Arabidopsis thaliana: one gene and its partner. The protein of the gene in region 2 interacts with the protein of the main gene of each other region in a pairwise test. Each region holds a gene or a part of one and is shown on either strand. Other genes may lie near its edges.

Region 1 (4,954 bases), on a different chromosome or scaffold from region 2:
TACCGAACCTTGGAACGTTTCCACAAGAGCACCAGCACCAGCAGACGCAAAGTTGACGCCGTAAAGCTTCTTTTGACTATTTCCCGGTTCCAAAAACGGCGGAATTAACGGCAAATTCGCATATTCCGCTATCATTAACGTACATTTCCGTCAATATTATATCTTTAAATAAGACCACGAGCTAATATATGAATAATAAGAAATATAATCTTCTCACCAATGAAATCAGAGATGAGACGACCGTCGGAGAATCTTCCGGTGGGGAGGCCAAAGAATGTTTGACCATAAGGTGGAAAATTGGCTTGGTCAAGTGTAGTGGTGTTAATGTAATTATTGTTTCCTGCATCCAAGAAAGAGTCTCCAAAGAGGAACAAGGCCGTCACATTATTGTCACCGTTATGAGAAATTTTGGCCGAGGATTTTCCGGCGAGAAAAAGAATGGTAGAAGAGACGATAAAGAAGATGAAGGAGGAGATAGTTCTCCTTGTGACTTTCTCCATTAAAGTTGACTCTCTCATTCACCACAAAATTCTAAAGACTCGTGATGTGTGTGTTATATAGACCAAATCATTTGCTTTTTAAATCTAACTTATAGACATGTCGACAAGACTATGTATTTATTTATGATATAAAATGTGTGTCCACACTTATATACAAAGACTTTTGAAAAGAAGTCAAATGGTTTGATTAGTAATATTAATGCAAGTATCACCATAAGATAATTTCATTTCTTCACAATAATAGGAGAAACCAAATGTTATGTCAAACTTGTCATCACACAACTCAAAGCACCTTGACACTTACATTTTGGGCTACATTTTGACAGTAATACGGTAACTAACAACAATTTATATGAAAAATCAGTAGATTAAATTACCAAATACATATAAATATGTTTCAGTAAAAAATAAAGAATGTGTGCTAATGCTTAGATATTTATACAGAGTGAAAATGACCTAAAGAAGCAGAACTGTCCAGAAGAGTTAATTTACTCTCTTTTATTTTCTGTTATCATAAGGAAACGGTCACGAGAAAGACACAAACTCACCAGTTACCACTTGCAAAAAGAGAGTTCAACCTTTAGAGATTCTTCTGTCGTTTAACGTCGTCGTTTCAACGTTTGTTCCCTCTAGATTCATTGTACCACAAAATAACAAAAGTGGCGCACTTCTCTAGGCAATCACTTTGATGATCAGTTGATCACCGCTTTTTTTCTGATCACAAATTTACGAGAACCGGTTTGGTTCAAACTTAGCTTGTGACTTCTTTGTTATGTTCAACAGTTCTCACATACTCTTAGTAGCATACAAAGAAGATTTATTTGATTAAACAGATGAGAGGTTCAAACACATTATGACAAATGTTAAAGGAGTTTTGGGGCATAAAGTAACAAAAACAAAACACAAACGAATTCAAAAGATTCACTAAAACAAAAACTACCACAACCCCTAAAAATAAGCCTCTACTTAACTTCATCACAACTACCCTCAAGATAGAGGCTCATGGCTTCTCGCAATGCAAACAGGAACTCCTGAGAGAGACAGACAGAGACAGCAGAAGAAGATGCAAGTAACAGACATTAGAAAGTTTTGGAGGTTGATAAACGAACGATGCGGGAAACTCACAAACATGCAGCCTTATTTACATGAAACTGGATCTCTTCAGAAGACTCCTCCAATCATGGAATGAATTTCATCAATACTCCATAGGTCCATAGGGTTTGCACCATTGTCCTGAGTCGTTACAGCATCTTCGTTGAGGAAATCCAGTGAAGCGTCCCATTCAGTGTTGTTGTAAGGTGTCTCGAAATCCATAGACTTGAGCTTCTTAGCTGGATTGGCTTCCTCAAAGAACAGAGCTGAGTTGTTGTTGTTGATAACCGCAGAAGAGATGTCGGGAGTTATCGGAGCTTGATCGCTCCAACCAAACTCCGAACAATCGAAAGAATTACTACCCTGGTCAGAGCTGAAATACTGATACCCATTACATCCAGCATCAACGGAGTTTGTCATCCCAAACTGGTTGTTGTTGTTGTTGCTCACTTGGTGTTTCTCCTCCATGAAACACATATTTTCAAAGGAGATGTTCGAGTTCTGAACCAAAGCTGGACTTGGGTTAGGGTTAGGTTTAGCCACTGGTTTCTGAAGATTAGCCTTCACAGAGCGTTTCTGAGAATTAGCCTTCATGTTTTCTTCAGGGAAATTCACCTTAGCTTTAGATCCACGGATTCTCCGCGCTGCAGCATCGTAAGCTCTAGCAGCTTCCTCAGCTGTCTTGAACGTTCCAAGCCAGATTCTAGCACCTTCCCTTGGATCACGTATCTCAGCAGCCCATTTTCCCCAAGGACGTTGCCTAATCCCTCGGTACTGATTCTTCCTCTTCCTATTTGCAGATTTCTCAGCGTCCCCATCCAAGCCAGTAACTTTCTTACCAAAAACTGAACCTAGTAGTGAAACAACAACAAAACAAAAGAGTTCTTCTATAAATAACTCATCAACAATCTCTAATCAAATCTCATCACACAAATCAAGTCTCATCACTCAACCTCATATGCATATAAATATCACACAAATCAAACCTCATGCTTTATACAACAATCAAAATCGTAAGCAGATAAAGGTATCTATGAACAGAGCTAAATAGAATCGAAACTTAATTTCTAACCAATTCAATCGCTCAAACTAAAGTCAATCCCTAAATATTTACCTTCCGCAGCGGCGGAGACGGCGGGTTTTGGAGTCGAAGTGAAAACGAATGGTTTCACATCGGCGAAAACATCACCGACGTCGAAATCATCATCGCAATCGATAGACGAATCATCTTTGAAACCTTGGAAATCAGCTTCGAACTCAGCGTCAAAATCGAAGAAATTCGAACGATTCTTCGAGCTTTTCTTCGATCCTTTCAAATTCTTCTTCAGATCCGGCCAAATAAACTCGCTAGTAACACGGCGAGACCTCGGCGGTGGAATGAAATCGGATATTATAGCTCCTCCACACATGGCGGCGATTCTTGAGGGTGTAAATGTTCGAAAACAGAATCTTAGCGGCGAAAATGGAAACTAATTGATACTTTTGGGGGTTATATCTTTGCTTCTTCTTCTCTCTTCAACGCTTTGCTTTGTTGTTTTCTTCAGAAAGAGATTTTAGAGTAAAATAAAAGATGAAGCGAGTACGATGGTTGTTTACTATTATACCCTTATCTTGATGTACTATTTACGGTACTACCAGACTTTTATATTCATTTACTGTAGATCTATATTGTAAATTAGGATTTTATTAGTTTATTAATAGTTAGTTGCAGTAAATAAGATTAAAAATTTAGTCAGAGTTGTCTGCTGGTAGACAAAAATAGTCTAAACAAATTTTTACCTAACGTCAATTGATTTTTTCATAAAGTCTATTTCCCTTAGATCTAGTATCTATTAATGTGATTAGGCATTAAAAACACAACTAAATACTTTTGCAATGTTGTTTGCATTCAGGAGTAGCCAACGCAGAACAGATATTTAACATTTAAATTTAAATAATATTATAAATGAATTATGAAAATGTTTTAACATAGGCACAAAATAAATGAATTATTGAAAATATAATGAAAAACTATACAACAACTTTTGAATGTAATTTTGATTAGGAGAGAGGACCATTAAGACCTTATGCTGTTATGCATAAGGCTAAAATTGTAAAAGCATAGAAACACATTTATGAATCTGCGTGTGCAGGACACGTACGATATTATTGAAGCTTTTTGAGCAAGTTGATAGGATTTGGTTTTTATGACAAAGCTTTTGTCGTTTCGTGACAAACAAAAAAGTTATTAAAAATAATCCGAAAAATATATTTGTCCTTTTGTTTGATAACTAGCATTCCAAATCAATTACTAGTTTTCTTAAACTCAATTTAAAATTTCCTTGTAATTCTGTTTACTCTTAACTAACTTTATTAGGTCCAAATTATCAGGCATCGTAAATTACGGAATATTCAGTAGGTATGTGTTATGTGTATGTGTACGTGGAAACCATATTTTGTTGTTTTATGGTGAAATATATTTTATGGTTGCAACTTTCTAAATTATGTATAAACAACTATTGGAAATTCAGTTAAAAGAAAATTTTATTTTATAAAATTCAACTTCATACGTGTATAGTTATACTACATATAATATATATATATATATATATATATATATATATTAGTGCAATCATGTACTATATATTTATATATTAAGATCAAATTGTGAACGCAAAGAAAGACAGATGAATAAAATAGGTAGGGTCCAAATCATTTTACAGGATTGAGACAAGTTCCTAAATTAGCTTATCTCAAAGAAACAGATAATGATGTCAATATGTCATTCATGGAGCAATTATTTGTTTCACTATTTTAACTTTTAATAATTGACTATACTCGTTTCGGAACTGTACATTAGTACAATTTCTTTGTGTTTATAGATATAAACCTTATGTTTTGTTTTTCTAACCAAATTTATAAGAAGCAAAACAAATTCCAGTAGTTGATTTTTTGTTCACTAACTGGAATTCTTAAATCTGAACATAACTTCTCATTAATTGGAATCATTGGATGGATACAAAGTGAAATCATTTTACACAAGGCAAGTTGTCTTTTTGGGCCGAATCGCTAAGATAGTGGGCTTCATAGGTCGAGTTATAGGCACTTGCATTTAGTTTAATTGATTGGCCTTTTAATTGGGCCGAGACCACGAACCTGCTTAGTTACTCGTGACAGTGTGACACTATAAAACAATAAATTAGTTGGGGAATTGGGTTGAACAAAGTGATCACTTGACAAGTAAAACAATAATTCCAATTGTTTAAAATACAGTATTTTGGCCTGTACATATTCAACACGTGACTAAATGAGTTGTTCATATCTTCTCAACCAAAGAGTGTCTATGTCCCTGTCACATACATTTAAAATATCTCCCATACATA
Region 2 (5,750 bases):
TTAATCCAAACCGAAACATAGTTAAATTCGCTTCCGTTACAGTCAATAACCTACGTTACCTCATATTTTTCAGCTTTCCAACAAAATACATATTATCAAAATTCTTTCACAGATATATATTCCCATAATGATTTTGTCTTTGTAAGATTAAAATTTATAAAATTATAAAACCTTTGATGATAACAATTCAATTTTCAATTGATGTAACGGGTGAACGAAGAAAATAATTAATACTATCAATATAAAACGTTGGAAACAGGTGTTACAACAATTAAAACTGAAAAAAATGGTTTAGTCCAATGTTTTCCTGTCATTTTTAGATATAACAACGAGTCATAATTATGTTACTAATTTTTTTTTTTAATTTGGTCGTTTGATTGATCGCATCGTGTCTCACTGTATATATGATATATCACTTTCCATCATTTGTTCTAAAGACATGATTTGTAACTTATATATACTTCACGTACGACACTAAATTCATACCGGAGATTGTTTGTCATTGGACTCCACTTGGTATCATATTCAGCAAAAGTTACAAAATTCATTTGACGAAGATTGTTTGGTTTTTGAAAGCAATGTGTATACAGTAATTTGTTTTCCGCTATTTGTTGATCCTCATAATCTTCCAGATGCTCCTACCATATGTCCGAAAATATGTTATAGGAAAACTTTAGAGAAAACTGCAACTATCGCTATAGTTCCAATGGTATCTAATTAAACTTTTGAATCTTATTGTAGGTGCAAGAAACATGTACAAAGCAGAATATCTGCTCAAACACTAGATGGAAATGGAATATAGTGGTATGGTATGATATTTTTTTGTGTTCTATCATCTCAAATAATCTTTGTCACATTATTGACATTGTGTAACCTACCTAAACTTTCACTCAAGTATTTATAATAGAAAATCTCTTCTTCTTACAAATATCATAACAGTTCTTGAATTATATCTTTAATAACTACTTGTACACAAAACTCTAGTTGGTTAAAAATAGAAGAAAAACTCTCCATTGTGATGCTTTGAAGGGTAAATTATTAAATAGAGAAACATATATTCTTTAAATAAACGAGGATCGCCCGTGGGCCGTGGGTAGTTTTACTGATTGTAATTATGTTTCTTAATGTTTTCTCAATACTCTAGTGCAAGCAGAGCACCCGTGGCCTAATGGATAAGGCGTTTGACTTCTAATCAAACGATTGTGGGTTCGAGTCCCACCGGGTGTGTCATTTTTTTTTTCCCTTAGTATGTGTGTTAACCTTTGTACGATTGATTAATTTCTTCTCACTTTTACCAATTAACCACTTAAATATTGACAGCGTGAGAGAATCCTTATTCGAAAATTGAAACTACAAAAGTAGACATGCTTAATCAATTTGCTGATTAAAGACCTTTTGTCTACAATAGTACATACTTTTAAGATTTAATTTACTGCCTAATGTCACTAAAACGTGAGAATCCTAACATTAGAAACTACAAAGTTGTAAAAAATCTCTAATCCTAAATACTAATCAGCATCACCCCTTAGCGGAACTCGGGTCAACCCGTGTACCCGAAGACTGTAACTCATTCAACTCAATTTCACTCCGCCGTAACATGAGAATCATCCTCTCCGTCTCAAGCCTCCGTCTCTGATTGTCAAGCTTAGCCTTCTCCATCTCTCTCTCTTTCTTGCTCCTATATCTCATCCACTTCACTCTCTGCTTCTCCATCTCCACTCCTTCCCACTCATACCCAATCTTCTTCTCCTCAATCTCCAACATCTTTCTCCTTATCCACTCTTTCTTCTCCCACACACTCTTCCCAACATCTTCCACTACACTTGCCGCTTCTTCCCTCAACCTCTTCACCGCCGTCGATATCCTCCGCTTCTTCCTCGTCTCTTCTTCCTCTGATTCCTCCATCTCTGACTCCGAATCCTCCGCCATATCAGACTCTACTTCCTCCTCCACCTCCACCCTCTCCGCAATTCTCGCCATTTTCCCTGCTTCCGCCGCGTGAAAACAGTTCTGCTGCTGACTCGGAATCGGAATCGAAATAGGATTCTGTTGCGGTGGTTGTTGGTCATGACCACCAAGATGACCACAACTATTATGATAAGCACACATCTCTCTAAAGAAAAGATGCTTAGAATTAAGCAACTTCTTGACTTCATCTTTCAACTTCGGAGTCAAATGATCCATACTCTCTAACAATCCTTGATTCTCAACGACACGACAAGCGATTCCTTTACCAAGAATATCGTTAACTCTCTTGTACCTCTTGTTCAAATCATTGAACTTGTCTTCACATTGTTGTGGTGACACAGAGAAACCTTTCTCCACCATAGCTCTCGACACTGATTTCCACTTCCCTTTCTTCTGCAACATCCCTCCTCCTCCTCCGCCGCCACCGCCACCGCCGGTCTTTTTCTTGGCGTCGACTGGATCGTTTAAACCAGCTTCGTCACCGATGTAGAAAACCGCCATGATCAAAAGCCTAACCATTGTATCCGTCCATTTCATTCTATGCCATTGTGACAATTTCCTCTTCCCGTCAGTTCCCGCGCTGTCTTCAGGGTTGCAACCGGATCCGGAACCCGACCCGCGATCCTCGTCGTCGCAACCGCCACCGCTAATGGGTGACATTTGTTTGGGTTTTGAGGCGTATGGGTATAAGGATTTTATCGGCGGCTGAGTTTGTTGGTCGCCGGAGGTGGTGTAAGGATGAGGATGCTGGAACTGAATTGAATTTTGGGGATTTGGTGGATTTTGCGGCATTTCTAAGCTCAACATTCTTGGACTAAACCCAGAGAACATCACATTCGATTCCATCAAACACTGAACCCTAAATTGGATAAAAAATTGAAACTTGGAAACAATGGTAGATAAATCAACACGGAATCCCACAAACCCAGATTTCGAATTTCCGACGAAGTAAGAGAATTCCGACAGGAATTTGTAAGTACAGTATCTTCGAGTTCTTACTTTTAAGTTTTGTTTAGTTTGTGTTGAAGATGTTTTTTGGTGAAGTGGTTTCGGGATTGGAGTCAAAGGAAGAGAAAGAGAGTAATATACAGAGAAGAGAGGAGAGCAGTGGTTTTGGGAGCCGTCAAAGGGATGATCTGAAAACTGCCCATGGTTTTGTGGTTTTTAAAGTTTTGTTTCCTTTTTGGGATTACAAATCAAGCCTAAACCAAGGGGCTGGTTTTGGCAAAACCAATGGAGCTGCCTTTTTTTGGCCACTGTTTTTACCTTTCTGCCAATAATAAAAATCCAACCTAACTTTTCATAAGATTTTTTTCTTAAATTTTTTCACAAATAAATGAAAAACAGTATCTGCTTTTTTGATTTCACAACTTTTTTATTTATATCATACAAATCTGAAATCTGCATACAATAAAATAAAACAAATATCAATCATTATTGAAAAACGGTTTAAAACATCGATTAAACAACCAAATATAGTAACTGTTTAACCGCGTAATGATTGTGACTTTTTTGCCAGCCTTAAACTGAGAGTCAGACCAATCTTAAACTGAGACAACCAAAAATGATCGATTTGGTACACAACAGAACAAAATTAGGCTTGTAAACCGAGTTAGAAAGCTAGATACAGGGACAAACACTTTTTCTCGTTGAAAATCAGTTACCAATTAACCATCATATAATTAAGCATCATATAATTACAATTCATAAAGCACTTTCATTATGGATTAAGAGCAATAATAATAGAGTTGTATCAAGAGCAATATCAAGAGCATCTCTCTCTCTCTCTCTCTCTCTCTCTCTCTCTCTCTCTCTCTCTCTCTCTCTCTCTCTCTCTTTATCTTTCTCTATACCACGAAAGTAGCGTTTTTTCAAATACTAGAAATACTATTTTTTATTGGAGGCTAGCCTCAAATTGCTTGGAGAAACCAAAAGGTAACCCACGATCTAGGAATGAGAGTTCGTAGCAAATAGAGGTTACTCATTGAACTACAGTGGCTAAAACGCTCATCCGACAGACACAGACCCGAGAGAAAACAGACTAAAGAATCTCAAGAACAACCATGATCACGAGGAAGACTCTCATGGGTTCTTCTTCTTCCTGAGATTTGGATTATCCACCACAGCTTCAAACTCAGTGCATCAGAAGCTTAAAATAGTCGTCATCACTTACTAAGAAGTAGTCGTATCCAAGAGCTTTAGCTCGGTTTTTAAATTCCTCCATTTCTTGCTCGGGGACTTGGATCCCGACCAGCACATTCGCGCCCGTCTCACCCTTTTTTGAAAGAAGGAAGATTGTATAGTAAGGAGGAGACTCGAAGTTCCATTAAAACATTTTTATGGTGAAATGGGAAACAAACCTGTCCACGGTAATGGAAAAGGGTGATGTTCCACCGTGGACTGAAAGAGTCCAAGAAGTTCATTAGAGCACCAGGTCTCTCGGGAAAGGTGAATCGGCATAGAACCTCGTCTCCAACAGTAGATCTTCCTCCCATCTGATATGTATAAAGTGTGATTCACATGACAACTTTGCATCAACCAATGGGAATGAATTGGAAATCTAGTAATCCTAAAGGAGAAATAAGCACAGAGAGAAATCAATCAAGGACGCACCAAGTAACGCAGGTGATCTTTCACTAAGTCACTGGTAGTGAGATTGACAGTTTTGAGTTGAGAAGATTCCATTCTCTTCTGTAGTGCTTTGAGCTCTCCAGCTGTGTGAACTCCGACACTATACAACAATTTACAAAATTTTGCAGATTAGAGGATGAATAAACTACTCGGGAAGGAAGGAATTTTTCAGGAATGGCCTTACCTGTATAGTACAACAGCCTCCTTTTCCGAGCTACATCTATATTTGAACTCGCTTATGTTCATTGGTCCAACCTGCACCCATTAATGTTTTGTCTTACATACACTCTGTAATGTGATTAACTACTATATGCTATAATACCAAACACACACCAGCTCACAAAATTGCTTAAAGCTTCCAGGTTTTTCCGGCATGAGAGTAGCAAGAACAGCTTCCTGTTGCCTACCGACATTGGCGAGTTCTGTCACAATCCTTAGCTTGTCAAAGTTCATGTTAGCGCCACTGGTTATGGCTACGACATTCACGTCCTTTAGGCCATAATATTTACAGTATGCCTCAGCTCCAGCGAGTGCAAGAGCCCCTGCTGGTTCCAATATGTTCCGTTTCTCCTCAAACATATCCTGTAGAGACAAGTATCTGATTATCTACAATTCAGTATGCATATGCCAAACACCGTCTGACAAGGGATAACGTATCAAGGATAGTACCATACCTTTATTGATGCACAAATAGCATCACGAGTGACAAGAACAACACCATCCATTAGATTTCTGCTTATACGAAAAGTCTCTTCACCAACTTCTTTAACTGCTACACCATCTGCAAATCCCCCAACCTGGTCCAATATCACCCTCTCACCGTGATGCAGCGACAAAGCCATTGCATTTGCGTCAGCTGGTTCTACACCAATGATCTTCACCTGCATAACCCAAAAGTCACAATAAGAAACAGAAGCTGAAGGAACTCATTTCTTAATTAAAATTCTGGATTTTGTCACAAGTAGCTGTTATTAACAACAACAGAACAGAAGGTGACATTGCCAAAGCAGTCACAGCAAAAAGAGTACCTCGGGAGAAACCCTCTTCACATAAGCAGCAATACCAGCTATTAAACCACCACCACCAACTGGCACAAATATAGCATGCAATGGACCCTTAGCCTGACGAGTGATCTCCATCCCAACAGTCCC

The links. The genes of interacting proteins can lie anywhere in the genome.
Region 1: the proteins of AT3G10040 (region 2) and RAP2.12 interact in a two-hybrid assay, tested with the Arabidopsis thaliana proteins (one study listed by BioGRID).

The regions. Positions count from the first base shown.
Region 1 is NC_003070.9:20,133,289-20,138,242, reverse strand, and holds RAP2.12 (uncharacterized protein), read right to left. Parts: upstream 3,400-4,954; 5' UTR 3,002-3,399; coding exon 2,707-3,001; intron 2,444-2,706; coding exon 1,662-2,443; 3' UTR 1,230-1,661; downstream 1-1,229. Other genes in the region: GLIP5 (GDSL-motif lipase 5), read right to left, coding at 4-128, 218-518. UniProt on the Arabidopsis thaliana protein: Transcription factor involved in the activation of hypoxic gene expression and in ethylene response. Partially redundant with RAP2-2. Acts as a downstream regulator in the ethylene signaling pathway.
Region 2 is NC_003074.8:3,095,062-3,100,811, forward strand, and holds AT3G10040 (sequence-specific DNA binding transcription factor), read right to left. Parts: upstream 3,357-5,750; 5' UTR 2,815-3,356; coding exon 1,519-2,814; 3' UTR 1,284-1,518; downstream 1-1,283. Other genes in the region: OMR1 (L-O-methylthreonine resistant 1), read right to left, coding at 4,103-4,243, 4,329-4,463, 4,582-4,699, 4,784-4,854, 4,933-5,181, 5,274-5,480, 5,628-5,750.